Mytilus edulis: one gene and its partners. The protein of the gene in region 2 binds, or shares a complex with, the protein of the main gene of each other region. Links are inferred from orthologs where the notes say so. Each region holds a gene or a part of one and is shown on either strand. Other genes may lie near its edges.

Region 1 (10,338 bases), on a different chromosome or scaffold from region 2:
TTTCAGATCTAATAAAGTCTGTGATTGGCAATCAAGCAAATAATTAACAATAGCTTTGCAACTTCGACCACAAGTTGAACGCTGCTTAAATTGGTTGAGTAACGAGATGAGCATGAGTTTCCAATTAGAGACCGCTATTACTTATTGTCAATTCAAAATATGTACTATAAAAATTCGAAATACTTCAAATTTCACTATTAAACTTTCAAATTTAAGCAGTCAGAAATCAGCAACCATAAATATGCTTTCAAGAAGATTATTCGACATACAAGTAGATGATGAATTTTATACAATTCCAGCATCTGTATCTTCTCTGAGTTTTGATTCTCCTCCAGTAAAGGATAATGCCATAATGTCTGTGATGACTCCAAACAGCAAAAGGAATCTGTTTCCAGGTGATGACGAAGATTCTGGCCTCGGTATGGAAGACCATTTTACATCGAGTTTGCCGAAATCCGCCAAGAGACAACATGAAGACGATGATAACTCAAGATGTTCAAAACGTCCAAAAGTTGGTTCAGATATAAAGGCTGTGGTAACCAAACTTGAAGAGAACGACGACTTCATTGCCGATGGTAGTAGATTACATACTTTACCAACTGTCACTGGAAAACATTCTGATTTGAAAAGCATCACTTCACAGACACTTATTGATGTTTTAAACGGAGACTACGATGACGTAATCAGTGACTACAAGATCATCGACTGTCGATACCCGTATGAATTTGAAGGCGGACATATCAGAGGAGCAGAAAATATGTATTTGAACGAGACCATTTTAACTTTACTTCAACAACCTACTAAAGATAAACAGATTTTCGTCTTTCATTGTGAGTTTTCTTCTGAGAGAGGTCCGAAAATGCTGAGATTCCTAAGAAGCAAAGACAGAGATCTCAATAAAGAAAACTATCCATCACTGAACTTTCCTGAAATTTATTTACTTGACGGTGGTTATAAGTCATTCTTTAATGAACAGCCTCACCGTTGTGACCCAGTGAGCTATCGACCAATGCTTCACTCTGACCACTCAGAAGATTTGCGACATTTCAGAGTCAAGTCAAAGTCATGGACTTTTGGAGAAAAACGAAGATTTGCCAGAAAAGTGATGAAATTTTAGGACTGTAAAGCAGCTGCTTATAACAAATAGTGCTTTGATTAATCTGTGATATAAAAACTTTCAGTGCTTTGATTTAAATAATCTTTTTATTGTACTTGTTAGCTATATTATATACATTTATTATTGATTTTAATTTTATTAAAGGTTACAAATAATAATGTTGTATTTTATCTTTTATCCTTAAGAATACCACAATAGGTATATAGTGCCACCATGTGAAATATGATTTTGTTGGTACCATGAAACCAGAAACATATATAGTGTATATCATATATAACTTTATTTCCTCCTGAAGGAGATTGACATACGACAAAATGAATATACTACGTATATAATCTCCGACAAAGTAGTCAAAACATTTACTAAATTTTATCATGCATCGGTATAAGGACATCATTCGTAAATATAGCTCAACATGCAGAATTCTTATACGTTCAGGTATTTCACATCCAATTTTTTATGGAAATATTCTTTATAAAGCACAAAAATGTCAGTATTCACCTCAGAAACTAACAAAACCTTTAAATAGACTTATCAAGAAGGGATATAGTTACGATACTGTTGTCAGGTCACTAAAGATTGCTTATTTTGGCGTTAATATTGATTCACTTATAGGGTCTTTGCATCGGAACTAAACACATTTATTAAAAAACCAGTTGTTGGCATGACACGGGTTATGTTCTTCTCATGTATGTTATGATGGTATGATACTAAACCCCTAACGGGAAGGAATGTGCCTGATATTCATATGATGAAATCATAATCTTTCAATCAGTTTAATTGAAGTCTGGAGCTGGCATGTCAGTTGACTGCTAGTAGTCTGTTGTTATTAATGTATTATTGTCATTTTGTTTATTTTCTTTGGTTACATCTTCTGACATCAGACTCGGACTTCTCTTGAATTGAATTTTAAATGTGCGTATTGTTATGCATTTACTTTTCTACATTGGCTACATTGGTATAGGGGGAGGGTTGAGATCTCATAAACATGTTTAACCCCGCCGCATTTTTGCGCCTGTCCCAAGTCAGGAGCCTCTGGCCTTTGTTAATCTTGTATTTTTTGAAATTTTAGTTTCTTGTGTACAATTCGGAAATTAGTATGGCGTTCATTATCACTGAACTAGTATATATTTGTTTAGGGGCCAGCTGAAGGACGCCTCCGGGTGCGGGAATGTCTCGCTACATTGAAGACCTGTTAGTGACCTTCTGCTGTTGTTTTTTTCTATGGTCGGGTTGTTGTCTCTTTGACACATTTCCCATTTCCATTCTCAATTTTATTATAATCAATACTGACAAAAAAAGTATCCTTTTCGGAAATAAATTTTACAAATAAAAATAAAAACACAAAGGAGAAACTACATTTTGTGATGATCATTTTACAAGAGAAGATAATTTTAATATTACGAGATTAAGTTAGTTTTAGAGAGTGACACATCAGTAGGTAACTGAGGGTGTAGTATCACCAAGAATTTGGCAATCCGATGACAAGCAATGTAGGTGCCCCTATTCAGTGCAGAATTATTCCCAACATTGTTATTTGACAATCGATGACAATAGGTGAATAAAAAGATGAGCATTGAAATATAAAAACTAATCTTACAGAAAAAGATCCAATTGTCAAGGTTTTTTTTCGCGGTGGGAATGGGTTAAATTATTATAAGATTTGTGGATTATATATATGCAAGACCCCATTCTAAAGTAAGGGAACATAAATTGAAACATAAAAAAGTTATACAAAATTCGTTAAACATAACAACTACAAAAAGAGATATTTTTTTACTTTTTCATACACTGTATTGGTACATGTAGAATTTTATTTCGGCTTGTATACACGGTGGAGAAGAGCGCTGTTGTTAATGGAGATGTTCCTGGTGAGCGATTTCAACTGATTGCTCTACAGAATCTGTATGCGCAACTTTATCTGGCAGTTGGTTCTAGTATATGGTTGTTTCACTAAAAATAAGAATGTTTTTATTGACTATTGTGGCATATTGTTGTCTGGCACTTTAAGCCCCAGTGGTGGATCCAGAAATTTTCATAAGTGGGGGCCCACTGGCTGCCTAAGAGGGGACCCGATTTCGTAACGCCTCAGTGATTCCCTATATAAGCAACCAAATTTTCTCAGTCTCAAAAGGGGGGGGGGCAGGGCTAGTTTGTGTTGTTTATTATGTGCCGTCACAGTCGATCATATTGTCTGTTTCACAATTTTATTATATTTTGGTTTTGATTATTCTTTTCGATTTTGCTGGTGTGACAAAATTGTCGGCTGGCAGTTCCGACACCAGATTCTCAACCATCTTGAATATCAGGATCAGACGGAGACTGTGTCTTCGTTCCTCCAGTGTCTCAATTTCAAACTGGCGTCTCATGTAGGAGATGGAACCGGTTCTCGACTCCTGTAGTTTTTCTTAATGAATCGTATGCCTCTGTTTTGTATACATTCCAATTTGTTTACTTGTATATCCGCTTGCATGTATATTTTCCAGGCTAGGCTGCTTTTCTACATGCTTCTAGTATCTTTCTCAATATAAAAAGAAGATGTGGTATGATTGCCAATGAGACAACTATTCACAAGTTCCTCCTAAGTTAGCCCAAGGTGACTTTGCATATAAATGATCTAGAATTAAAAATAATACAAGACCATCTTTATTGTCTTAATTTCGTTTTGGAGTCAACTCAGTGACCGCCAAGTATTTATAAATCCGGTTGGAACTCCTTCTGCTGTTCTGTAGCCATCACGGTGAATTATGAATTTTTCAAATTGCAGTAGTATCGAAACAGTCAAAATATTGAATGATAGAGATGGACCATTTTGTACATATACCAAGGGGAAACTTCGTGCAAAGCAATATTATTTATTGTTTTGTTGCATTTAATAGAAAAAAATGGATTTTTGTAGAAAATCCTCAAACTTTATAAAAGAGATTTTTGTAATAAAATTTTCAAAATAGATTTTATACTCACTTGTTTTTCTATGATGTGCTAGCATTTTTTTTTACAAAAAGTCCTGAACTACTTAATTCCAAAAAAAAAAACTCGTGCTGGGTCACTAAAGTCGAGCGCACCCTAAGGTGTACTTGAATTGGTCTATACTTATATTTGTTTTAACCAATATCTAAATTTATAAACTTGTTATAAGGAAATCATTGCTAGCACTGCATGCAATAATCCTCTATCTATCAAGCACCGAATTGCCAAATGTAAGAGAACAAGGGGGAAGGCTGTGGATTTTCTCAGTACAAAATTTCCATATGTTTAGCATAGAATGATCGAACAGATGGGTACATAATCCTAACTAATGACATGTGCAATACATAAATCAGATATTGATTGGATAGCTCGAGTATCAGAAATCTTCCCTATGCAGTAATAATCTTTATTGCAAAAATACAACCAGCAGACGTATTGTTTTGAATGACTGAATTGCAATCTACTGGGACTCTCCTGTATTGAACGTACGTAAAACGTATACTTCCTGTTTATAAAATATTGAAAAGAAATCGTCGCAAGTTCACAAAATCACAAAAAAATGGAACAGAAAACAGTGTCTTTTGGATTTTCAAAAATAAAAAAGAACAAATCTTTGGGAATATCCAAAATAAGCGAAGGAGAAGTCGAAAAGAATGAAGAGGCAGAATTTGTAACCGAGGTTGACGAGAACTTTGCTAAAAGGTAACAAAAGGCTTGAACAGCCTTGAAGTTGTGTTGGGGTACCGTTCGTGTTGCTTATCGGCTTAGTCTTTATTTTTCTATGTTTTGTGTTGTGAACTATTGTTTGTCTTTTTCTTTTGTAGCCATGGCGTTGTCAGTTTATTTTTGATCTGTGAGTTTGAATGTCCCTTATGTTTCTTTCTCCCCTCTTTTGAAAAGGTGTTGTTTGAAGTGGGTCTGTATATGTATGAACATGTTGTGAATATCAATACTGTCTTTAAAACTATGGTAGTGGCAGCACTGTCAATTTGTTAATGGTGTGAAAGCAGTTTTGGAAGTTCTCAATGATGATGTGTGCTATACATAATACATGTACACTGTGGGTCTCATTGGGGTCTAAGCGCGACACGGGATTGCCCATTTTTTGTAAGCGTGACATGTGAATGTCAAATTCTTGTGCTGTGAAAACGGGAAATGAAGTCTTAGTGTCTAGCTGGGTACGGGAAATAACAAAAAATTGAGAATTGCTTACGTAAATAGCGTAAGCAGGATACGGAAATCAAACAAAATAGTAAGCGGGATCCGGGATCAGAACCCCCGAATGAGACTCCCTACACTCTAGTCTAATGTGTCTTCAAGTTGGTTCCACTGACTTGTTCACTGTTTTAAGAAAACAATGAATTAGGGTAAAGTTAGTTCAATTTCAAAACACTTTGTGCATGTTGTGTTGTTCCTGACTTGTTTTTCAACAATTGTCTAACAATTGCCAAATTTATTGGCAGTATTAAGTAATTGGTGTTATTGGATGTGCCTTTTTTAAATATGCATCTGGTTCTATAACAGGAACTAGCCCCTGTACTAGCCTGTACAGAAATATTCACTTCTGGCTTGTGTGCTTGTCTTTATGACCTGTAAATCCAGTTTAGTAAGGATGTTTGAGATGCAACCATCATCTTTGGATTTGTAGTCTCTTGCAGCTTGTCGATGTATTCTTTAAAGCTTTATGATGATAGTAGATGTGTAGGTGTCATATTTTATTGCTCCATACTCAAGTTATATTAGGCTATCATCTTTTAAAAATAAACTAATTGAAGAATTTTTGTCAACATTTATCATGTTGTTATGACATCAATTTCTTTTCTGGATGGTGAAATTAAATTAAAAAATAAAATTGATATTCTTTTATTTGCTGAAAACTTAATGTTCATTAACCAGTTGATTATTATTTTATTATCAATATGTTTAAACAGTCTTGTCTGGTTACAGAAAGGATATTTTTTGGCAGATTAATATTAAATAAAAACTGTTATATGTTTTTCTATTTCATGTATTTTGTCTTAAAGTCATACATCACAACACAGTACACTTGTTATTTGTAAAGCCAAATGAAAGTGGAGGGATAAAATATTCTCCATTTCCATATTAATTTATGGTTTATTTTTTGCAGCACAAAACCCAAAGCCAAAGAGTTTGTTATACCCTTAATCAAAGAAAACAAGTGGAGGGTAAATGCATCTGGAAATCAAATTGAAGACAGTGCTGTTCAGGAACTGGTAGAAGGTAAAACTAAATTTTGTAGAATGTGGTTTGCAAACATTTCTAAATTTACAACTATAAAAAAAATCTATAGATTTGGCATGATTGCTCAACAGGACATCTGTACTATACATTCCTCAATAAGGAGAAAAACTTATACCGTTTGGTTAGCTATAAACAATAAAATGCCCTTGAATGATATGTCAAAACATGAAACAAATTAAATGAAAAAAAACCAAATGAACAGATTTATTACAAGAAATTTTTACAAGAAAACAAGACTACAGACAGAAACCAACTACATCCACCAAATTTTAGCTGTCTCCTGAATTGCGGCAGGCACACAAAGAAAGTGTTGGTGTTAAACATGAGAGAGAAGGTAACAGAGCCTTCAACAGTTGGTACATGCCTATATGGACTGTCAAGCTCTTAATCACCTCCTGTTTATAGAAATGATGGGAATAAGGATACTATACTGCTAAAAGACCTGACATTAGTGCAAAGCACCTGATTTTGGATTCACACATGAATAAGTGTCCATATTACATAAGAAAATTCAACAACAGCAAAAGTGTTAAAATGAAAACATCAAACACAACTTGTGTACCTGCACAACTAACCAAATATTCTCAGAAAGACAACAGAGCAAAACTGATAACAAGTAAATCAACATCAATCAAACCAAAAAATAGTAAACCAACTATAAACTGTCCTCAGCAATCAACACCAATAAAAAAGTGACCAGATAAAGAACAACTCAGAAAACTGCAATAGTCTATATATATACAAGGACAACACATAGTTTTGCACCAATAAACGTTCACAAAAAAGACAATAGAAATTGATAGATTGTTGGTATTAATTAAACATAAACAAATATGACATATTTGTAAGGTGATTTGTTAGTTAATGAGATGTATAAATTCATTTATGCAAAATGAATCGAAGCATGTAAATTAAAGTGTATATGTATACTTAATTGACATTTTTCAGACGCAAGAAAGTTCCAGGAAGCTGAACAAGGAAAGGGGCAGACTGATATGGGATTAAATATTCCTCTTTTGATGCAAAACAAAATTCCTGAAGGTTTTGAAACAGATGATAAGTTAGATGTAGGCTTACGACCTGATGAGGTACTATAAAAAAAAATGAAATTAGGAATATTTTATAGCCGTGTACATTATACTTTCAAATAAAGATGTAGAATATTTTTCAGCTATGCATTATTGGAAACTTAATGCTTATATCAGTTATATTAATTTTGGAATAAACACAATCTAACAATTATCTGTGTGACTCTTTTGATTTGGCACACACTGATATTTTGTTCAAAGTTTATTTTGACATATTTCATAATTGTAATTTACATACATGTATATCATATTGTTGCTTTTTTGTATCTAATAGAAATAATTTCAGGATTGTTTTTTCTACAAGATAATTTTAGATTGCATATATTTATATGAAATTAATGCAAAGGATATTTTAATGAACAAATTATTCAAATTCCTTACACTTTTGAACTAAATTACCATTTTGCTGTATTGTTATACTTTTAGTCAAAAACATTTAAGTGATGTCAATTAGATATTTATCAATTACATATCTCATGTATATATCTTAATATATTTTGGAATTGTATGTGCACTGCATACATTTTTAGTGGACTTACTTTAAAAAGAAACATGTGTAAGCATAAAAGTGTTGCCAGTCACAATAATATTTTTTTCATTGGTATATTTATAGCCTGAAGAAAATGACTATGAAGAAATACCTATAGACCAGTTTGGGTTAGCTATGTTAAGAGGAATGGGATGGCAAGAAGGACAGGGTATAGGAAAAAATAATAAGTATGAGAAACAGTAGAATACTTGCTGAATCTGTTGATAATGCAAATTATCCCTATTTTACAAAACTTCCTTTAATCTTAGTTACTGATAACTTCCTTTCTCAGCACAGTAGAGTGGTTTGAAAAATTATCACTAGAAATTAAGGTTGAACTTGCCAGTGTCAATGAAATTAATAGGTCATAGGTTATATAGCAATAAACAGATTATCATTGGTCATCTCAATACATACCGGCTCAAGTGAGTAAATCAATCTTGTTCAGATGATAAACGATAATCTATAAATATTTAATAATTTTATTTTTAGAATTTCATCAGATTAAATACATGTAACAAACTAGAAGCAAATTGCTTGACTCACACGATATTCATTTCAAAATTGTAAAAGACAATTTTATAAGTAAAAATCAGATATTTACACATTTTAATATGCATATTTAAACAATTTTTGTTATTTCAATTTATTTACATAGAGCTGTAGCTCCTGTGAATGCTGTATTGAGACCAAAGGGCCTTGGCTTAGGAGCTGATAGGTCACAAGCAGCCCAGTTGAATGATTCAAAGAAAGGATCAGGAAAAAATGACAATGAGGAAGCACTAGTTTTGAAGAAGGGTGCTTACTGTGTTCTTCTAAAGGGAGCAAATAAAGATATGTATGGAATTGTAAGTTGTGTGAAAGTAGTATAAAGAAAAAAGGACAACACTTATAGACTTCATAGACTAGGCTTCAAATCTGTAAGCCATGTATTTATTATTATTCCTTAGATTAAAATACCAATTAACGTGGATTTTGTGGGATTTATATGTTCAGCAAATTACTTATTGTCTATATACATGTAGGAATGTATGAAGATATTGTTAAAACCATAAAAATATAAGTTTTCCTCAATCCATGAAAATTGATAACTGAGATTATTCCGTATTAGTATTATTTTAGTAGGTTTTTCTATATGAATTGGATTTTAAATAAAAAAGCCTATTCACCTGGAGAAAAGTGTTATTCACTGCACTAAACATCACACGCTTTTACATGTAACGTTATAGTAAACTGTTTGGTGTACAATTGGTTTGAATAAATATTTGTCATTAAATACATTGTTTTCTCTTCAGATATGGAATAAAACAATTGCTGTCTTTTGTTTCGGTAAATATGCGGTTTAATTGACTTTTGAAAAACTGATATTAACTGAGGCCTTCTGCCTCAGTGAATATCAGTTTTTCAAAAGTCAATAAAACTGCATATTTACCTGATCAAAAGACAGTAATTGTATAGTATAAGAAAATAAAAGAATCAACAGATAACAATGTGGCATGTTTTCAGATTTTAATTGAATAACTTTCACTTTGTTAAATACCATGTAGGGGCCTTGGGGCTGAATGTAAAGTAGTTACTACTGTTATCACTAGCAAGTCAACACTGAGGTTGTGAGTTGGAATATTGCTCGTGCGGGTGCACATGACTCCAATCTTAATTGACTAGGATTGTCAGTTTTCTTAACAAAGGTCATTGGTTTTATCCGGCAATCCGGCTTCCTCCACCAATAAGAACTGAAGGCCAAATAGCCTAAATTCAGTGCTTAAAAGTGGCGTTAAATACCAAAAATCAAATCAACTTAAATACCATGTAATGAAAAAGATAGGAAATTTCTTTTCAAGAGTTAATTTTCTAACCTCCATCATAGGTTTGAATATGTCTGCAACAGACTCTATGTCTTTTCTTATGTATATCACCTATGAAATGTCTTCATTTGTTGAAGTTGTTCACTTCCAGTTGATAGATAATTAGGTATGAAATAGATAAATAGCTAATATTTGGAGGAAAAAAAGTTAAAATGACTATAATATTTATACTATTTTTGCTGTTTCGTATAGATATTGATATAAACAATATAATTTGATCAAATACAATAAGTTGTATACAACTAAATTAACAATTTATTTCTCTTTTTATCAACAGATAGAAGGTTTAGATGAAGACAATGCAAGAGTGATGGTCAAGCTAACATTGGGTGGTAATATGGTCACTCAAAGTCAATACTCAATCAGACTGGTAGATAGTCATGACTATAAAAAGTACTCTAAATATCTCAGTAAGTACCATCAGAACGATGGAAAGTTACGAATAAAATTTATTATTGACATTACCATTAATTCATGGTTTTGACACAGTTTTCATGATTTGAATAA
Region 2 (10,338 bases):
GTATATATATATATAAATATATTAAAATCGTATGATGCACAATTGGTTTTTTCCAAATAATTGTCATAACATACATTTTTCTCTGTATACTCTCTTGGAATATTGAATAAAACAATTACTGTCTTTTGTTTCCGTAAATAGGTGGTTTAATTGACTTTTGGAAAACTGATATTCACCTCAGCCATTTGCCTCAGTAAATATCAGCTTTTCAAAAGTCAATAAAACCCTATCTTTTCCTCATCAAAAGACAGTAATTGTATAATATTCATAAAAACTTGGATTGATTCTATACATACCTGTACTCAATATATATGGTAACTACACCCTAAAAACTATTTGTTACAATATTCATACTATGGAGAGTGCCCTTATTGAAATGTGTTTACTAAATTCCTAATAAATAAAAGATTATATATACAGCATGATTTAATCTATTACCACTGACCTGACTGTGTTTATTATCCCCAGCTGGGGCCATATGACCCCTAGACCATCCACTTCCTAGGTAATCAGAGTTCTCAGCACTGAACTCAGTTTGAACATTTGGATCAGATTTAAATTTGATTTTTCTTCTGTCTGCCGGTCCTGAAATCATAGAGCACTTAACTTATTTCTAATACTGTTAAGTGACATTTAAAAGATGTATCTTTATATGTGTTGTTTTTTTATGTTTCATTGAGTTGTTGTCTCATTGAAGAACATCCCACAATCACTTAAATGATTTCTGAGTTTCATTTAGTTTTGAGATAGAGGATTTATTATGAAATGACTGTAAGACCTTGAATGTTTAAACTGCAATGAAAACCAAACCAAACAAACAAATGAAAAACAAAACCACTATAAAATCTCTCTTCATTATGCATGTTATGAATTCAAATGGTATCATAACCTTACTCTGTATAGTAGTAAAAGATTAACTACTGGTGTCATTTTTAAATAAATAAAATCAATAAGTGCAGATCATCTTTTAAATAAAAAAAATACTATTTATTCAAGACTGACAAAATTATAAAATTTCTCAAAAATTGCAGGGGAATAGAAATTCTTAAAAACTGCAATTATTCAAAAAAAATAATTATGGAACAATAGGAGGAAAAAGTGTGTGTATACATTATGACCAGAAAATGATCTCTTAATACAAATTCAATTTGATTATTCATGTCACCAAGGTTACAGACATTTTGAATTATAAGGCTCACATAATGTTAATTATTACCATCAATATTTCTCTTGGTGATATACTCAGCAACCCAAACAGGTGTTTTCTTTGCCTGATCATATGATAAGATGTGATTATCATAAACCCTTATATCTGGCCCACGATCTGGTATGCCATACTTGAGAATAGTCTCACTTGCCCTGGTCTTTGATGATAAACCTACAATTAAAAAAAAGGGTTGCTGGCCAAATTGATCATCTTGTCTGTTCAGTTCATATAAAATGCAATAGATTTTAATTTTTCATTTCAAGAAGCAGTTATACTTTTTTTCATAAGGGGAAATAACTCAGATAATTTCCTCTTGATTTATTATTTTAATTCTATTTCTGAAAATGTACAATATAAATTACATTTTTGGTCAAGTACAAAAAAATTACTACCATAGATATATTTTTTATCAATGATTTCATACTACCCAATTTAGATTAACTTTCTACATATTAGAAATCTATTAAATAGTGATGTAATAAATGGGTTCTCTAACACTGCTTTACTGAAAATCTCATATAAGATTTTAATGTTCTCAGATGTTACAGTGAATATAAAAAGAAGTAAAACTAGTTGACTGAGAGTAATCAACAGGGATGTAAACGAAAAAGGGGACTGTAGAGCCTTCATATAGTAAAGTTATAAAATGTCTATGCATGACAAAATGTTGTACAATTCAAAAGAGAAAACCAATTGAAAATATTATTTTTTATAATAAATAACAAACAAAAAACAAACAAATAAAAAGACAGACAAACCAACAACAACCAATGAACTAGTACAGGCTCTGCACTCAGGACAAGTTTGTGAGCACTAAACTTTCTCAAAAGCTTGGGATAATGGTTTAACAGCAAAACATATAAACTATCAAAATTAGTTGTGTAAAAGATTTGACTCATCAGATCTGTAAGTTTTCTTCAAAAGAGTGGTATAGCTATAGGTGTAGACTGATGATTCCATATAAATCTGATGGACATACATTTGTAAGTTCAAGAAAACACTCATCAAATTTGTTGTCATTTTGTTTTCTTGGTGGATAGTTGTACCTATCTCATTAACAATAATACCACATCTTCTTCTTTTCTCACTGAAACATTACTATCAGTAAGGCTTAAATATAGACAATTATATTTGCACAAACTTATTTACATATTATTTACAAACCAGGTGCTCCGCAGGGCGCAGCTTTATACGACCGCAGAGGTCGAACCCTGAACAGTTGGGGCAAGTATGGACAAAACATTCTAGCGTGATACAGCTCTGAATTTGGATTGTGATCAAATTTTTGACATTACATGGGGTTTTTTTACACAAAACAAATGTCAAGATTTTACAAATTTTACAATTAAAGATTTCTTCTTCAAACTTTTTAAATCTAAAATTAAATAGTTGGAACAGCATTGGTTTCTGACACAGAATGAATGTGGTCTAATGAACTTAAAAGTTTGTTTTTGCCTTTTAGCAATTCACTATGCTGTTGAATATTAATCCTCTCAAAAAAATGTTTGAAGAAATTTTCTTTTTATTTATGAAATCTGAAATGAGAAAAATTTAACCCCCCCCCCTTTTTCACATCCCCGTTTCCTTTTTTCCAAAACTGATATCAATTCAAATTTCTAATGGAGTTTGCAACAATAACTACTCTTTTAAATACATCATAAAATATTAAAATGTAAAATAAAGTGCTTATTATCACTGAATGGTAAAGATTGGTTGGTAGTAAAAGTGAATATACATTGTTTATTGTATAAAACAATAAAAAAAACTTCATCAGCAACATTTTATATTGGCAAATTTCCAATGAAGTTATTTACATAAAGTAATGGGCAAATAAAAATAGAAAATGACATCATAGTCATGTCTGGCAAATGTCCAACATACATAATCTAAAAACATTTTAGATAAGATAAGGAAATAAGATGTAAAAAAACTGCTTGTTATCACTGAATGGTAAAGATTATTTTAATTCATCAGTTGGTAGTAAAAAGTGAATATACATTGTATATTGTATATAACAAAGATTTAAGTTGATTCTGGACAAAGAAAGATAACTCCAATTAAAAAAAAATCTTGCTATTGCACAATATTTTGCAATTAGATATTTCTTGCTTACTATTCTGGACAAAGAAAGATAACTCTAATTAAAAAAAAATTTGCTATTTCACAATATTGTGCAATTAGATATTTCTTGCCATTGCGCAATACTGTGCAATTGAAAAGACTTGCTATTGCACAATACTTAATATAATAATTTTAGATCCTGATTTGGACCAACTTGAAAACTGGGCCCATAATAAAAAATCTAAGTACATTTTTGGATTCAGCATATCAAAGAACCCCAAGATTTCAATTTTTGTTAAAATCAGACTAAGTTTAATTTTGGACCCTTTGGACTTTAGTGTAGACCAATTTGAAAACAGTACCAAAAATGAAGAATCTACATACACAGTTAGATTTGGTATATCAAAGAACCCCATTTATTCAATTTTTGATGAATCAAACAAAGTTTAATTTTGGACCCCGATTTGGACCAACTTGAAAACTGGGCCAATAATCAAGAATCTAAGTACATTTTTAGATTCAGCATATCAAAGAACCTAACTGATTGATTTTTTGTCAAAATCAAACTAAGTTTAATTTTGGACCCTTTGGACCTTAATGTAGACCAATTTGAAAACAGACCAAAAGTTAAGAATCTACATACACAGTCATGACAGTTAGATTCGGCATATCAAAGAACCCCAATTATTCAATTTTGATGAAATCAAACAAAGTTTAATTTTGGACCCTTTGGGCCCCTTATTCTGTTGGGACCAAAACTCCCAAAATCAAACCCAACCTTCCTTTTATGGTCATAAACCTTGTGTTTAAATTTCATAGATTTCTATTTACTTATACTAACGTTATGGTGCGAAAACCAAGAAAAATGCTTATTTGGGTCCCTTTTTGGCCCCTAATTCCTAAACTGTTGGGACCTAAACTCCCAAAATCAAGACCAACCTTCCTTTTGTAGTCATTAACATTGTGTTTAAATTTCATTGATTTCTATTTACTTAAACTAATGTTATTGTGCGAAAACCAAGAATAATGCTTATTTGGGCCCTTTTTTGGCCCCTAATTCCTAAACTGTTGAGACCAAAACTCCCAAAATCAATCCCAACCGTTCTTTTGTGGTCATAAACCTTGTGTCAAAATTTCATAGATTTCTATTAACTTAAACTAAAGTTATAGTGCGAAAACCAAGAAAATGCTTATTTGGGCCCTTTTTGGCCCCTAATTCCTAAAATGTTGGGACCAAAACTCCCAAAATCAATACCAACCTTCCTTTTGTGGTCATAAACCTTGTGTTAAAATTTCATAGATTTCCATTCACTTTTACTAAAGTTAGAGTGCGAAAACTAAAAGTATTCGGACGCCGGACGCCGGACGACGACGACGACGACGACGACGACGACGACGACGCCGACGACGACGACGACGACGACGACGCCGACGCCAACGTGATAGCAATATACGACGAAAATTTTTTCAAAATTTGCGGTCGTATAAAAAGCTGAGAATTGAAGATTTATATGGTAGTGACAATAGCTTTCATATAAAAAAAAAACAACCTTTAATAACTTTGTATGCCAGTATTATCATGATTATTATTAGATATAGGAGGGTGGTAATGGGGGTTCTTTAATGACAAATAATGGTAAAATTGTTGCCAAATAACGTTAATGGTAATTTTTTGTGCATGATGTTAATTAACTGTATACTTTCTTTTAGATGATAAAAAAATCGACTGATATTGATGAATCACATTATACTATTCACAAAAAAGACAGTGACGATAATTATTTGGGACCTCTGATGAATAAAGATTGAGGAAGATAAGGATATTTTGACGAATCACTGTAAAGATTGAGGAAGATAAAGATATTTTGATGAATCACTGTAAAATTTTTACCAATTTAATTTTAACGCTCACAGCAACCAAGGATTTGTATAGTAAGACTATACAAATCCTTGCAGCAACTGAAAATGACCATTTGATGCCTAACGATAAAGGGAATTACTACCCTCATGTATAGAAGACAGTATAACTGTAAGTGTAGACTCATGTGTTCAACAAAAATTTTATAGAAACTTTTACCCTAATATTTTTATACCACTGCAAAAAACTCAAATAATTCTTTATCTTTGTTTTTTAAATTCATTACTTTCTTGGTTATCATTTTCAAATAAAATTCGATAAGAGCCAATTGCTGCAAGTGTTGTGAATGTGCCTGTGATTATTCCTTTCATAAATTGTGACATTTCCGTATTCAAAGCTGATTGCTTCGTCCGTAATTGATAAAGAATTTAGAAAAAAACACTCTCGGACAGTTTCGTTTTAATACAAGCTGAAGTCTAGAGAAATCCGAAGGCCAAACGTTATTTGTACACTTCCGGTGTCGGCGTCCCACATGTATTTTTGAAATATTGTTTTATCTATTGATTCCAGTACTTTTATCTTACACTGATCAGGTATACCATTACGCAACTCAATTATTTAACAGAGTGCCGGTTAATGTGCCTTTCTGTGACCACCGTAATCAGATTGGGTCCCTACTTTTGCTTTGTTATCATTTGTACTAAAAAAAATCACTACTGTTGTGAAAAAAATTATTCATATTAAGCACAAATTTTAACATAGTGAATACAAAATAAATGTAACATGTCCTCTGTGCCACTGGAAGGATGAACATCTTGCGCACGATTTAACCTTCTGTCCAACATTAAGAGAAATCTGTATGCAATATTTCTTTCCACTCAAAGATCTTGTTACAGTATCATACAGTCATAGGTATTATTTTCCCTCACTCACTCTGAGTTACCTGTCAAAGTAGTTGAGGAACCGTAGCTGTCATGTCCTAATGATACTTTCGTTACTCTTTTCGAACCCTAAGATTGGAAGCTTATTACTATTAGACAGAAAGTATAATATTGAACCAACTGGATTCAAAAACCTTATTCCTAAGGCAGCTTTAAAAAAGTCTATGAACTTAACCAGTTACAGTGTTCTCCCCAGGCCGTTTTAGCGTCGCGGTACCGTGACGCTATATTTTTGCACCGTGATGCTATAATAATTCCCGCGACGCTATAATTATTTTGAAGATGCTATTTTATTTGTCCTCAATTTTGAACTTTCATCTATTATCGATTATTATCATAAAAATTACATCACCTTTAATTGTAATCCCTTTAAATCGGACACTAAAGGCAATTAAGGGATTAAATAGCCAGGTGTTAATTGCCCTCAGGGTGATAAATGTTTGGATGCCAATATCCCAAGCTGACACTCGTGACATGACTTATACCACGTGTCTGCCATCACCAACTTCGACATGGAAAAATGCAATCACAAAAACAATTCGAAATCTATGTTTTGTATTACAAAATTTCAAAGATTAAAACGAATTTTTTTTAAAAGGTCGTTTATATTTGCAACTCTCCAAAATATACTTTCTTTCTCTTCCTGTAATACAAGAGCGAGAATTTTGGTTTTGAGCTAAAATAAGTTTTATACTTCTTTAAAAAGTTATCATAATTGGCTTTAGTTTATGTTTAATGCATTTAATGCATTAAAAGCGTCTTATTCATTCACAATCTCTTGTCAAACAATGTTTATTCTCGGACTCATTTTCGTAAATTTTTCTACGGCCGCCATAGCACATTTTTGTGTATACTACAGATCGGAACCGGACCAGATATGAAAAAATCCGCATTTTCACAATAATGACAACAGACGGACAGTAGACAGAAAAAATATACCAATAGAGAAAACTACGCATTAATAGACTATTTGTTAGATAACTTTGTTAAAAATACATATCATTTTGATGTAAAGATAAGAAACAACAGGGACTAATTCATTGAGTGCCATGGAACAATGAATTTCATAAACATGATAAAAAAAGGTTTTTAAATTGATATTTTTTTTTACTACTTTTGCTACTTTATCTTTACTTAATATAATATAAAAAAATAGTTCATTTTGTGTAATAGATATTTAGTTTTGTATATATACAGGTTGCACTATAATGAACTATTCATTCATTTGACTTATGTGTTGGGTAACTGAAAGCACATATTTATTTTTATTTGGCACAAGAGGAAAAAAATAATTCTGTAACTATAAATGAATAAAGAAAACATAAACTGAAACAACTGTTTTTGTTGTTATAGTTTAATTGAATTCTTAGTTATGAATTGAACAATATAAACTAAAACATATAAAGGAAATAGAGCATCAACGCGACGCGACAAATGACATTACAGTGTTCTAGGATTCCCATTACCCGTTACCCGGGGTAAGTGGATTAGGACAACGGGTAAGTCATTTTTTAGCCTTTGTCACCCGGTGGTAAGTCAATTTTCAAGTTCGGGGAAGCCGAAAAACTCTTGAAATTTCCAGGTCCTCTTCAATTTTCCCATATCTGCTTTTTATTTTTATTAAATCACGAGAAAAAACTTTGATAAAAGATCGAAGATTTTGTCGATGTCTATCGGCGCTTTTATTCAAGCACTCGTTTACTAGGTGTAATCAAGCGCAAAAGAGACCACATTCTTCTCCTATCATTCTAAAAGTCGGTCACGGTGTCGGTAAAATCGGAAAATCCGGATTGATAACTGGTGCTTAAATCGGGACATAAACGATTTTTTTTTCTTGTCATCGGAGGAAAATAAACTTACAGTTGCATTTATTATAGCTCTTAATAAATGACATAGTAATAACTATAACATATTTGTCAAATTTAGTAAGAAATCGTTTTTTTTAAATTTTGTATAAAATTCAATCGTATCCGAATCCAGCTTTGTTCAGACAAACTTCACAACATATAATTTAAAGCATGTCATAAAAGTTTTTTGAGCGGCCCCCAGACCCCCGGCCATAAGGGCGACGAGCTTTAGCTCGCCGCAGCGGACGGCGCTGTCTGCATTGGTTGGCGGATTTAACTTTTAGATGTGGGTAAGTAATTTTTTTATTGATCTTACCCGTGGTAAGTCAAGGTGCCAAAAAAATCCTAGAACACTGCATTAAAAAAAAATACAGTTATTTTTTTTTACGCAAAATGTGATGCTATCCAAAATTTCTGGGGAGAACACTGAGTTAGACGCCGTTATAACTCCAGGTCTACAACACCCTTCCCTCTTTTCTTTTTTTGGCTGCACATCATCCATTTGACCTCACAGGTCCGTTACTGTACAACTCAGCAGTCACTCTGAAACCCTCTGATCAGTTCCCTGCATGTCAGTCAGACATGTATCAGTCATCCAATGACCTGTCAAACATAATAACCATATCAAACTGCCAGACACTTACATACAGTTGTGCACACTAGTAGATGCTCGCAATGCCAATATTGTGAAAATCTATGGATGGTACCAACAGTATGTCAGGGATTTCAAAGAATTGCTCTAACCTATTGAGCTTAAGGAGATCTTTCCTAACTAATCCAGTTAGATGCCCACATATCTCCAGGTCTACATGGTCTTCAACAGTATACAGTGCTCCTATTTTATAAGAACTTCTTTTTAACTACACAAAAATGCATCTTAGAATCATTTATCATAATATGAGGCAGGCATAATCATTACCTGTGAAAGGGGACTGTCTGTCTGTATGAATTAAATTTTTTTTTAATTCAAACATATTTTAATTTCAAAACAGAAATACTGTAACGTTTCTGATTTTGGTTCTGTTGTTAGGGATTTTAGTTGTGACGTTCTTTAACTTAGGATGTCATATGCAATGTAAACAAAGAAAGGCTATATGATCAGGTAACGTTTTTTCATATCAAAGAATTATTAAAAATGAAATTGGTATTGCATTCCTTCCTATTTTATACTAGACTGATAAATATATATTTTACTCAAAGTTTCATGCAAACGAGACCGGAAAACAAATGGAAAAAGGAAGTACATTGTGGATTTCTGTGCAGATGCGGGAATTAAAAAAAGTGACGAAAAATGAGTTAACGATTTTGAGTTCCCTGATAATTATTTTTTTGATTTTTTTTGGATTGATTTTTGTACTGTTATAGGGAACTTTGTCCCCTTTTAAATCTTGAAATAAAAATGACAGACAGCAACCAAGGATATCATATATTTAACAGGCTCCAGGCATTGGACTGGCACATATGTTTATGAGTTCTCAACTACATTTGTATTTTGGTTTCCTAGGACAGTGGTCATGGTGGTATAACAACACAATATAACAGCATTCTGTAAAATCCCATAGAAAATGGCTTGCCTAGATCAGCATGAAGCAGAATAAAAATCTTATTAACATAAAGACTAAAAAATATATCTAAAAATACTGGCAGTTACGTAACATACTGAAAGCTACTTTATATTACTGAATTAAATATGTTTTGATATAAAAACACTTTCAAATGTTGGTTTTTTTCTGCATTTTACAGATTTTTGTCCTGATTTACGATGGATCAGGAACTGTATGATGAGTTTGGTAATTATGTAGGTCCTGAATTAGATAGTGATGAGGAAGATGAGGATGCAGATGAAGATCAGAACAGAGAGGATGCCATGGCTGAATATGCAGGGGAAGTAAGTTCATTTAAAATGTAAACAACAGGAAAATATTGGTGTTTAAAAATTTCTTCACAACATTTGCACAAGGGAAAAGTACATTTTGTATTCAATAATTTAAAAAAACAAACTTTGCTCCCCTAAACAGCAACAGGTATGACATTTGTTTATACTTCACAAACCACCAGAGTGAATTTAGTGTTTGCCATTACATTTAAACCTGAGTTGATGTATTGTGTCCTGGTTAAATTCACATTTATTTAGTTTTAATAACAATTTAGTCTATATTGTGATAAGTTGCAGTTCGTCAACCAGAAATCTCTTTTCATTTGGAAATGTTTTTAACTTTAAGTCATGTATTGTCAAAGAAAAAAGAGCACAACTTGACATAAATGTGTTGGAGGTTTAATATACAAACTGTACCAAAAAAGTAGTTTTAAAATATTCATATTGAATTTTCCTTAATTAATAATCATGAAAATTTGTCAATCCATTTTTTGCATAACAATCAAAATGACACAAGCATTAACAATTTATACCAGTAAGTTTATTGT
Region 3 (10,338 bases), on a different chromosome or scaffold from region 2:
ACTATTAAGTGAAATTTAAATTAATGGTTATATTGTTACGGTTTAGGGTATAAGCTGTAGGTTTGTAGATACAACTGTTTCAGGCTACTCCGTAAACACTCTATTCTATTTTCGCGTTCGTCGTTTACTGTTAGCCAACGCTTATATAAAGACATTTGATGAACATTGTGTATACTTTTATTGTTATTGTATGTAAATATTGTTAGTCAGGTCTCTGGGAATAATACTATAGAGTTCGTCTTCACTGTTTGACCACGGGGGGTCCCCCGACTGAATGAATGTTCCAACCTTCTGTTTACTCCTATTTCACACGTTCCTGCTTTATTACCTTGTTATTTTATTAGCGTTAGGCATATATATTGAAACCGGGGCCCATACATGCTAAGAGTAAGCTTAGATAGGTCCCGTTTGTCCATTTCCCCACTCGACAGAATGTCAACATTCCGATCGCCGCCATTTGCATCACTATGTTTATTGACGTCAGTGACCTAATGACCTAAGATCAGCATCCAATCAGCATAGCGTAATTTGCCCACCATATCCATAGGGGCACGTGACGTTGGTGGGGCAGAGATATAAAAGCAAGTGCACAAAAGTCTTCAGATAGACTGCGGCCCGCTACCAGGGCAGTCACTCCTGATACCAAGGAAACTTACCAAAGGCAAAGCAAACCAAAAGTGCCGCAGTCGATGCAATACATGTACCTTTGCATCCCCGTTGGATAAATGGACCAAACCATAAGTGACCTAGATGTTTTACTGCGTTTACTACGATGTTGACAAACGATTAACGTACCGAAAAGGGGGGTCTCTGTATATTTTATAAACTGTTCTGTTGGGTTTTCATGTGATTTATACTTGGAATAGTATTGAATGTTTTGTATATAATAAATTGTGAAGCTTTATTAATCTTGACATGTTATCTGTTGTACATGTAATTAGTAAGTCAATGTTAATGAGTTTCTGTGCGGCTACCATATTTAGACCAGTGCCTTAACTGTTTTGCCTGCTACGCTACCATAGTCTTGACCATTTTACCAGCTACGCTACCAGTATAACTTAGTTTGTAACTCGACACCAGAGTGGACAGATCTATATCAGAATTTACCAAGAATATAGTAACCAGGGTTATAACCTCATATAAATACCTTTACTTTTGGGACACCCCCGTCCCGTAACAATATGACTGTTTCTATTTCAATCACACTGTAAAAGGTAGTGTTTAGAATTAATAAGACTTGTTTAGGACAAAAACAATAGAAGACAAATAAAACTGACCCAATAATATCTAACTATTTTTTTACAAAATGAAAATATCATCCCCCGACAACATGATTTCTACTACATACGTTGCCTTTCTGACATGTAGAACAGGAACATGGTTATGTCTGTAGCAAGCAAACAGTGCTCCTTGTGTACTGCTAACACCCTCTCTTTTAGGTAACTGCTGGAATACACCGTCAAGTGAAGCATCTGCAATAGAATAGAGGTGAAAACATGATATTACACCAAATTAATTGTAGATTCACTATTGAAAGAGTATTGAATAACTATCCTGAAATTTATTGTTACCTATGTTGAATTCAATCAATGACTCTTAAATTGAATTAAAAGAGAGATTAAAGAACATGTACATGTTCTTTAATTGTAATTCACTGTTTTCATGATAAAGTCCCTCAAACAGAATCCGATAGCTATCAAAATCAAACTTGGGCAAGATGAAATATTTATACAATTTTTTTTTTAAACCTTTTTAGACAAATAATCAATTTGTAGCTGAAAGATAAATTCAAGAAGAATGCAATATTTAGATGCACCATTAAGTGATAAAAAATATCAAAATTCACATCAAGTATTATTTCCATGGACATCAAGAGGCTACATATCAGTTCCAATGATTAAAGAACAAGAATGCGTCCCCAGTACATGAATGCCGCATCCACACTATCATTTTTTTTATGTTCAGTGGACTGTGAAAATGGGAAAAAATCTCCAATTTGACATTAAAATTTGAAAGATCATATCATATGGAACATGTGTACTAAGTTTCAAGTGGATTGAACTTCAACTTCACCAAAAAACTACCTCGACCAAAAACTTTAATCTGAAGCAGGACAGATGGAAGAATGAACTGACGAAGGAACAGACAAACGCACAGACCAGAAAACATAATGCCCATAAATGGGGCAAAAAAATTGTATTTTGGTGGATACTTGTTTTTAAAGTTTGAATCAATTCTGCATACAAGCATACAGAATTTATTTTTGATAAGTGTCTCACATCTTCTATCTAGTAAATGCATGAAAATAAGTACTCCATGAAAATTTGTAAACCCTGACATTGTGACACAGTATTTTATTAAATAACATACCAGGATAAGCTTTCATTGGTACATTCAGGAATAAATAATGTAAGTCAGGAACGGCATTAAATGCAGTACGGATTATCTCCCTTGCACAACCACTGGCATATTCTTTCTTTGCAACAAAATAATGCATGTACAAGGAATTTAGAGCTGATGTTTTTGGAGTATCAAACATCTTGTGGAACCACTCCTCCCATGTTGATGGATCAACACCTTCAATGTTGGGATAATCAAAGAATGCAGCATGGCCAAGGATTTCTTCTTTGTCGTTACATAGAGTGACCGCTAACACAGCTTTCTCTCTGTGAATTAATGAACAAGGATAAAATCAATAAATTGGAAAAGTTTAGAATCAAAATACACAAAATGCAATTAAATATTTTTTTTGTTTACAGAATACTCAAAAAATTTAATCCAGATTTTGGTTTTCTGTATACTATATTTGTACTGTTATATTTTTAATACATTGTAACATGGTATATGTAGCATTAGGTAAATATTTCTGACTTTTTATATCTTTCAGTAATATTTCTGACTTTTTGTCTTTGAACAAAAACAAATACATGATAACAGACATCCTGTGGTTTTTTTCCCATGCAATAGAACCTCCATGACCAGTCAGATACATGTAAGATATAAAAATATTTCATGCTGTGGCAATAATTAAAAAGGGTCAATTTTGTTGTGTATTTTTTCAATTTTGGATGTTAAATCAGGTTTTCTTGTATTTGAAATTAATAATGTCATATATGTAAAATACAATGTTTGGTACTGTTGACTATATGCATAACAATCTCTAGACTTATTTCAAACTGATTGTTATGACTTACATTAAGTTGACAACATTAACTCTTCCAAACAATTGGTCAGTTGAACTGTTCACGAGCTTGATAATGTGTGGTGCATCTAGCGATTCTGTTCTTCTAGCATTTACAACCTCTGGGGGACCATCCACAGGTGTAATTGTTGCCATGTTTTCCAATTTATGCAAATTCTAGAAACAAATTAAATCAAAAATGTATAAATTAATACTGTGATGACTGTAGCATAAATGCCAACAACCCTTTTTGCAAAATCAGAAAGAAAGAAAAAAAATGCTGTAATATGTGTTTGATCAGTAGTCCATTTTTATAAAGTTTTAAATTATTATTTATTGTAGTATTAATACATACCTGCCAAGTTTTCAAAATGACCATGGGGGTTTTGCGTGCAAGATGGCTGCCATACTTCTAAAAAACCTTCAAGGGGGCCTTCAAATACAGTGTAATGTTGTTTTTTGACTTCTTCATACTTTTATAAGCCTCAATTCATTTTAAAATTAATTGTTTTGTTAAAATTGTGGACATAATTGCTCTTGAAAAATTTCAATTTGGGAGCCTTCATGGGGGAAATCCCCCGCAAATAGTGACAGTTGACAGGTATGTAAAATAATACACTTACTGAGGATTCATTAAATTTAATGGGAACCAATGTTTGTGGATAAAGGAAAACTGGCATGTTTGATGATATTTTATTTTATTTTGTGGTTCTCCCTTACCAACATGATCAATGAAAATTGGTATCCAACAAATAATAATTACCGTACCAAAACTTGATTACAAATATATTAATCATAAAATCAATAACAAGGGTGCTAATGTGAATTGGCGCGATAGTACTTTAGAGCGAACAGAACTGGAATCGATACAACTTATCGCTATTTGTCAGCCATTACTGAAAATCACACAGGTTCCCGTAAAATCTTGACGTCATAAAACAAAATATCTGACACCACAGTGGAAAAGTGATTGTTGTATGCGTCAAAAGTTCAAGCGGCCAGGTCAGCCGGGATTAGCGATAAGGCGTATTGTACCAGCTAAAAATATGCAATTAAATTGAAAAGAACTTTTAATCGCAAAAAGGTAAAGAAAGTGTCATTAATCAATTAAAATACAAGTCTCGTCACAGAACTCTTGTATCAATGACTACACAGAACCCCTATTCAAAAAACCTGCAACTCGTAAAGGAAAAAATCTGTTAATTCTGTTTGTTGACAACATCCCCTGAAACCTGCCAAGAACTAAAACGTCAAGTTTCCTTACAAAATCGGTAAAATTTGTGAAAATACTTTATTGTTCAATCAAGTTGAAGAAGTTTATTGAGTTAAACGAGGTTGACAGGGAAATTCATGGGCAGTCATATGAGAAAACAGCTATATAATTCCAAATTTCATGTCCAACCTATCATTTGCTTAAGCGTGACATGCATAAAATGTGCCTGATTAGTAAGTGATATAAGGACTAGTTCAATTTAAAGTCTTATTTTTTAACTAAGAATTACTCAAATGCCTATTTCTCATACAGTTAGTGTGGATAATCAATATATATTCTCACTTTTTTGGATATCTCAAAGCTTTACCGCCATTGCAAAGCTGCTACTTAGCAACGATACGTTAAAAGTTTCGTATATCAACAAATATCTAATATGATTTCTTCAACAAAATAACATATAATATATTATCATATAATGTAATTTACAATCATTTTTTAAAGTAAAAGAGGGACTGCAGTGTATTTATTTCTTCTGAATATTTGTCATAAGTTTCGAACATTTCTATTTCCGTTTCCGGAAAAACAAAATTTCGATATTTGAACGTCCACACTTGCTTTGTAGTTAGTTTTATATTTAAAAGGCGCTGTTTATGTTAATTTAACAAGATGCTTGAAGTTGACGAAGATGGCAAACGCAAAATGCCTAAAGTGGCAAAGGTGACGTTCTCAAACTTTAAAAATGTTTATCCTATATTTATGACCCAACTTGGCATTTCAATTTTTATGCATTAACCAGTTTACATTTTCAATGATTTTGAGGAAATCTAGAAGGGTAAAGAACCGAATGGGTGCGAGAAAACTCGACCGGAGTAAAATTGGTCTGTCTGCAAAAAGACAACTCTAACTGTATGAAAACAAACTCTGACTGTCAAGAATTCAAATGGGACCTCCTGTCTTAAGTTTTTAATATGAGACAGGCATTACCTGTAAATGGAGAAGAAGTCTGTATTATTATATTTTTAAAATTCAATCATGTTGATAAAAGAAACGGAAATACCGTAAGGTTTCCGATATTGGTTCTGTTGTTTAGGATTTAGTTGTGACGTTATTTAAGTTATGACGTCATATAATAATGTAAACAAAGAAACGCTGTTATCAGGTAACGTTTTTTCATATCTGACAACAATTATTAAAAGTGATTGGATGTTGAATTCCTTCCTATATTTGTTGATATGTTGATAAATATACATTTTATTCAGTCTCATGCAAACAAGACCGACTGGAAAACATTTGTGCGCAGATGCAGACCAGAAAAGGAAGTATATCTGAAAAAAATTTAACGATATTGAGTTCATTACAGTGTAGGACAGTCAGGCCAGCCAAAGGCTGACCGGATTTTTTTTTTTGGGCGAGTGTAAAAATAACTTCACAGGCCCAAAATGCATATTGGTAGCCCAATTATTTTACTCGATTTTTTTTTACCCGTTGAGCCTTAAAAAATGACAAAAAAGCAATATAAAAACGGTAGATGTTCTCAATTCCTCAATTAAACCTTCCTGATACATAACCCTAAAAAAATCATTCCCGTAGTCTTCATTGTCACTAAAATTCAGCATCACTGTTCAGTGCCTAATTTAGGATTTTGGAGAGGAAGAAGTGACTTCTCATTCCAAGAGAGAGAGGAGAGAGGCGAAGTTCCAATGCCGTTTCGGTTGCATAGTGATTTCGTGTTATCACTGGGGAAATATTGCTGCTGCGTTTAAAATTAAACAAGTTTATGCGAAATAATCTAAAAATAGCACGGGGAATTTCTGCTATAGATATTCTATTCCGTCATGCAGTCATTTCAACAGAGGTCTCCAAAGTGTCAATGCAAAACAACATAAAAAGACATTTTACATATATTTTATAAGCGAATTATTTTCTTATGTCACTGCCACATGCACTTGTTTCTGTCCTTGGGGGGTTTAACTATCCACATTCGTATGAAAAACATTTTGACAGCTTCTTGGATGTTTCCGTGTTTGCCGGTTTCCTTTCATAATTCCCATTTCCCTTGTTTGGTTAAGTGGGTCAGATGAGGTTTTACTGTCAATGACTGTCGCTAGCCTATATAAAACACCAATAGTTTAGCGACCATCATTGTCAGTAAAATTATTTTTGACCCACTATTAACAAGCACATTATCACGATGCGTTTGTAAATGCTATATTGATATTTTGATGCACTTGCACGTTTTAACGATGTGAACAGAGGATTTCCGAAAATGGGTGTTCCGAAGTTGAGGTGGTTTATTATAGGAGTAAACTACGATTTTGAGAATGATATACACTCGCCCAATGATTTATTTTTGGGCCAGTTACTATTCATCTTGACAATTTCTAATCGCCCAATCAAGGTGCTGGTCCATTGGCGACCAGGCGACTGGCTGTGTCCAACACTGTCATTAGCATGATTAGTAGAATGAAAAATTCTGGAAATATTCCCGATTTTTTTTTTTTTTTTTATTGATTTTTCTACCGTAATTGGGGACTTCGTCCCCATATAATAATATGAGGCAGGCATTACCTGTGAAAGGGAACGAAGTCTGTATCAATTTTTTTAATTTTACGTAACGTTTCAGATGTTGATTTTGTTGTTAGGAATACTCGAAGTCTCATGACAAATGAATCTGGAAAAAAAGTCAACACTTTTGAGTTCATTAAAATTATATATATTTTTTTTATTTATTTTTTCTACTGTTATAGGGGAATTCGTCCCCTTATTATAGACAGATGTTACCTGTGAAAGGGGACAAAGTCATTCATATTTTAAATTTAGAACCTGTTTAATAAAAGGGGACGACATAGTCTGAATACTTTGTTTTTTAATAGTCCAGCATATTTTGCTTTCAAACTCTTAAAACAGAAACGGAAATATGGAAACTTTTCCAACGTTGGTCCTGTTGTAAGGGATTTAAGTTGTGACATCATTTTCAATGTAAACAAAGAAACACTCATCAGGTAACATTATTTTATTTTTCATATCAAACACTTATCAAACAAACACCAAATTAGATGGAAACAATATGATACTCCTTCCAATTTTACAAGTTATCACAAAAAAAACGAGAAGAAAAAAAGAGATTTCTGGGAAAATGTGGAAAAATGAAAAAAGTCTGAAAATTGAAAGTTAACGATTTTGAGTTCATCATGTTCATTAGTAGTTCAATTTTTTTTTTAAACTACTGTATATTGACTTTCATTCTCTTTGTTTGAAGGTTAAGAACAAGATGCCAGCACCAGTCCAGATTACTGCAGAACAGTTACTCAGAGAGGCCAAAGAGAGGGAATTGGAGCTTGTACCTCCAGTATGTTACTCTATGTTATTCAAAAAAATCATAGGGGTTCCTAAAAGTTTTCAATTTCATTAAAATTTTACCAACAGCTTTTTATTTAAATCAGATGTTGAAAAAAATATATCCTTTGTTTAAATCACCTGATTTGAGATTTTGTAAACTTTGCAATATTGGTTTCAGTACCTAATAGATTTAAAAGATGCTCTTGAATGATAAAGTATAACTTGATCGTGTCTACGTTTGTATATGGCTCTAGCTATAGCTGGTATTTTTTGTTAACTCCTTTTGAATTTTAACAAGTATCAATTTGATTTGATTTAATTAGTTAGTCATTTTCAATATATTGAGAAAGGTCACATTAACATGATAACAATACTGATATAAGCAAACTTTTATATTAAAGCCTCCAAAACAGAAGATATCAGATCCAGATGAATTAGCAGCTTATAAAATGAGGAAAAGAAAAGTGAGTACAAATCTATATATGATTGCTTTAAGGACTATGAGATTCTAGCAATTTCATGCATATTTGTCTTTTGAGCCCAATCCTATATTTCAAATTTCTACCTTCTAATAGATTTCTTTTAGAATTATAATTATAAATTAGTTTTACCCTATATAAACAAGATGCTGTTTAGAAAATGTTGACTATGTCAGGATGCTTTTTGAAAATTTCTGATACATGTACTGTGAATTCATTAATGTTTGTTTTAAGGGAGGAGGGTTATGACTCACTGAAAAAAAGGGATAAAATCTTTATTTTGAATGACTTTTAATTACATGTATATACATTCTTTGTATGCTTTTTTAGCTTGCTTATATTATTTTTTATGATAGGCATCTGAGGATAACATAAGGAAGAATAGAACAGTCATGATAAATTGGATTAAATATGCACAGTGGGAAGATTCACAACAAGAAGTTCAAAGGTAATTAATCTTAACTAATAAAATAACTTTATGGTTGCATAGTAAGGTACACATACAAATGACATATTGGTGGAATCTGTGCCAAAATCAAACTAAAGACTATAAAATTGGTCCTGCTGCTTTCTCTTAAGTTCACATTATAAGTAAGTTAGTAAGCAGGATTGAAGCTAAAATTTTGAGGTCTATAGTCACTTTTGCTTGCTACTGAAAAACTTACCTTTTCGGGAAACAACTTGTATGGGCACAAAAAACAACAATAACAAAACATGTTTAATGTGTTCTCCCAACTGTGTTTTCAGCTATTCATTTGTATTGTTTATAAAATATCCATTTCACATTATAAAAAATTACTTGTTGACAGCTATTATTGTTTAAATAGTTACTGTTTCCATTAAAATAGAGTTGCTAGTCATCTTTTAAGTATGTTTTATCTGAGACAACTCACCTTTCAATACCCTTAAGGGTTCTCAGCAGTGTGAGTAAATTTTCCTTTCTTAGCTGAAGTTCTGGATGTGGTTTATAGAATAGGAGCCTTTGACCATCATGTTAATGTGATACTATGTTGATTGAATGTAAGATATCTGAAATGATTTTTAAAATATATTCAATAGGAAATAAAATTTCATAAAATTGACACTGGAAACAATAACAAGTTTAAAAAAGACAACAATCTGACCAAATAGCAGAAAACAGACAAAAGCAACCAATGGGTCTCCAATGCAGTCTACCATTATAATAATGCAGTTTTGCTATGTGGAAAATAATTTTGTTTACTTAATTTTTCAGAGCCAGATCAGTTTGGGAAAGAGCATTAGATGTTGACCATAGGAACATAACAATATGGCTAAAATATGCTGAAATGGAAATGAGGTATTATTTACATATGAATTACAAATAAATACCTTGTTTTTAACCCAAAAAACATATTAGAACAGCTGATTAATTGCAATGGCCCTATAAAATAGTTTTAAGGTTAATTGTAAGTTCCCGAAATACATATATACTGTTATAAAAAAAATGAAATTTAATTATCAATGAATTATTTTTCTTTATACTGCAATCAGCTATTTTACTATACAGATAAAGCTATACGTATAAACGTTTGCTTTTTACGTCAATGACCTCAACTAACCTATAAGCCCCACCTACTTACTGGAACTACCACTGTTTCATCAACAAGTCACAACCATAATAACGTGTAGTAACATTGGTCAAACTTTTATGAATTTAAACTTGTTATGTCTTCAAATTGGTAATTTATATACCATGTTTATAAAATGTTATTAATTAAGTTCATTTTCTCTTTCTAATTCCTTAAAATGTCAATGTCTTACCGCCTGGATTACGCTCAAAGGGAAATACCCCAAAATGGTACCCCATGAGGGAAATTCCAAAAACTTTTTTTTAACAATATTTGTAACATATTTTTTTTACCTTTTTGAAATTTTTTTATCGATTTCAGTATAAAGACAATATACGTACAGTGTCTTGAAATATGAAATTTATTTGTATTCGGCACGAAACAGGTACAACCTCGCATTTCCCCCGTTTCTAAGCCTCATACAAATAAATTTCATATTTCAAGACACTATACGTACAATGTATGTATATTGTCTCAATCTATCCCAAAAAAAAATTTTGCACTAAATAACAAATATCTAAAGAAATGTCTCTGCAA

Evidence for each region.
Region 1: 116 kDa U5 small nuclear ribonucleoprotein component-like (region 2) and G-patch domain and KOW motifs-containing protein-like share a complex: the UniProt entries of both Homo sapiens proteins name them as parts of the minor spliceosome. The link is inferred for Mytilus edulis from reciprocal best matches to the Homo sapiens genes EFTUD2 and GPKOW.
Region 3: 116 kDa U5 small nuclear ribonucleoprotein component-like (region 2) and crooked neck-like protein 1 share a complex: the UniProt entries of both Homo sapiens proteins name them as parts of the minor spliceosome. The link is inferred for Mytilus edulis from reciprocal best matches to the Homo sapiens genes EFTUD2 and CRNKL1.

What each region holds. Positions count from the first base shown.
Region 1 is NC_092344.1:15,302,470-15,312,807, reverse strand, and holds the start of G-patch domain and KOW motifs-containing protein-like, read left to right. Parts: upstream 1-4,568; 5' UTR 4,569-4,646; coding exon 4,647-4,789; intron 4,790-6,215; coding exon 6,216-6,328; intron 6,329-7,297; coding exon 7,298-7,437; intron 7,438-8,050; coding exon 8,051-8,154; intron 8,155-8,624; coding exon 8,625-8,814; intron 8,815-10,108; coding exon 10,109-10,241; intron 10,242-10,338. Other genes in the region: M-phase inducer phosphatase-like, read left to right, coding at 242-1,117. UniProt on the Homo sapiens protein: RNA-binding protein involved in pre-mRNA splicing. As a component of the minor spliceosome, involved in the splicing of U12-type introns in pre-mRNAs.
Region 2 is NC_092345.1:82,431,418-82,441,755, reverse strand, and holds the start of 116 kDa U5 small nuclear ribonucleoprotein component-like, read left to right. Parts: upstream 1-5,572; 5' UTR 5,573-5,719; intron 5,720-9,657; 5' UTR 9,658-9,676; coding exon 9,677-9,802; intron 9,803-10,338. Other genes in the region: nuclease EXOG, mitochondrial-like, read right to left, coding at 446-585, 1,217-1,378, 5,413-5,509. UniProt on the Homo sapiens protein: Required for pre-mRNA splicing as component of the spliceosome, including pre-catalytic, catalytic and post-catalytic spliceosomal complexes. Component of the U5 snRNP and the U4/U6-U5 tri-snRNP complex, a building block of the spliceosome.
Region 3 is NC_092346.1:35,664,482-35,674,819, reverse strand, and holds the start of crooked neck-like protein 1, read left to right. Parts: upstream 1-4,955; 5' UTR 4,956-5,060; coding exon 5,061-5,111; intron 5,112-7,653; coding exon 7,654-7,743; intron 7,744-8,134; coding exon 8,135-8,197; intron 8,198-8,568; coding exon 8,569-8,660; intron 8,661-9,446; coding exon 9,447-9,530; intron 9,531-10,338. Other genes in the region: cilia- and flagella-associated protein 61-like, read right to left, coding at 1,349-1,472, 2,371-2,666, 3,195-3,337. UniProt on the Homo sapiens protein: Involved in pre-mRNA splicing process. As a component of the minor spliceosome, involved in the splicing of U12-type introns in pre-mRNAs.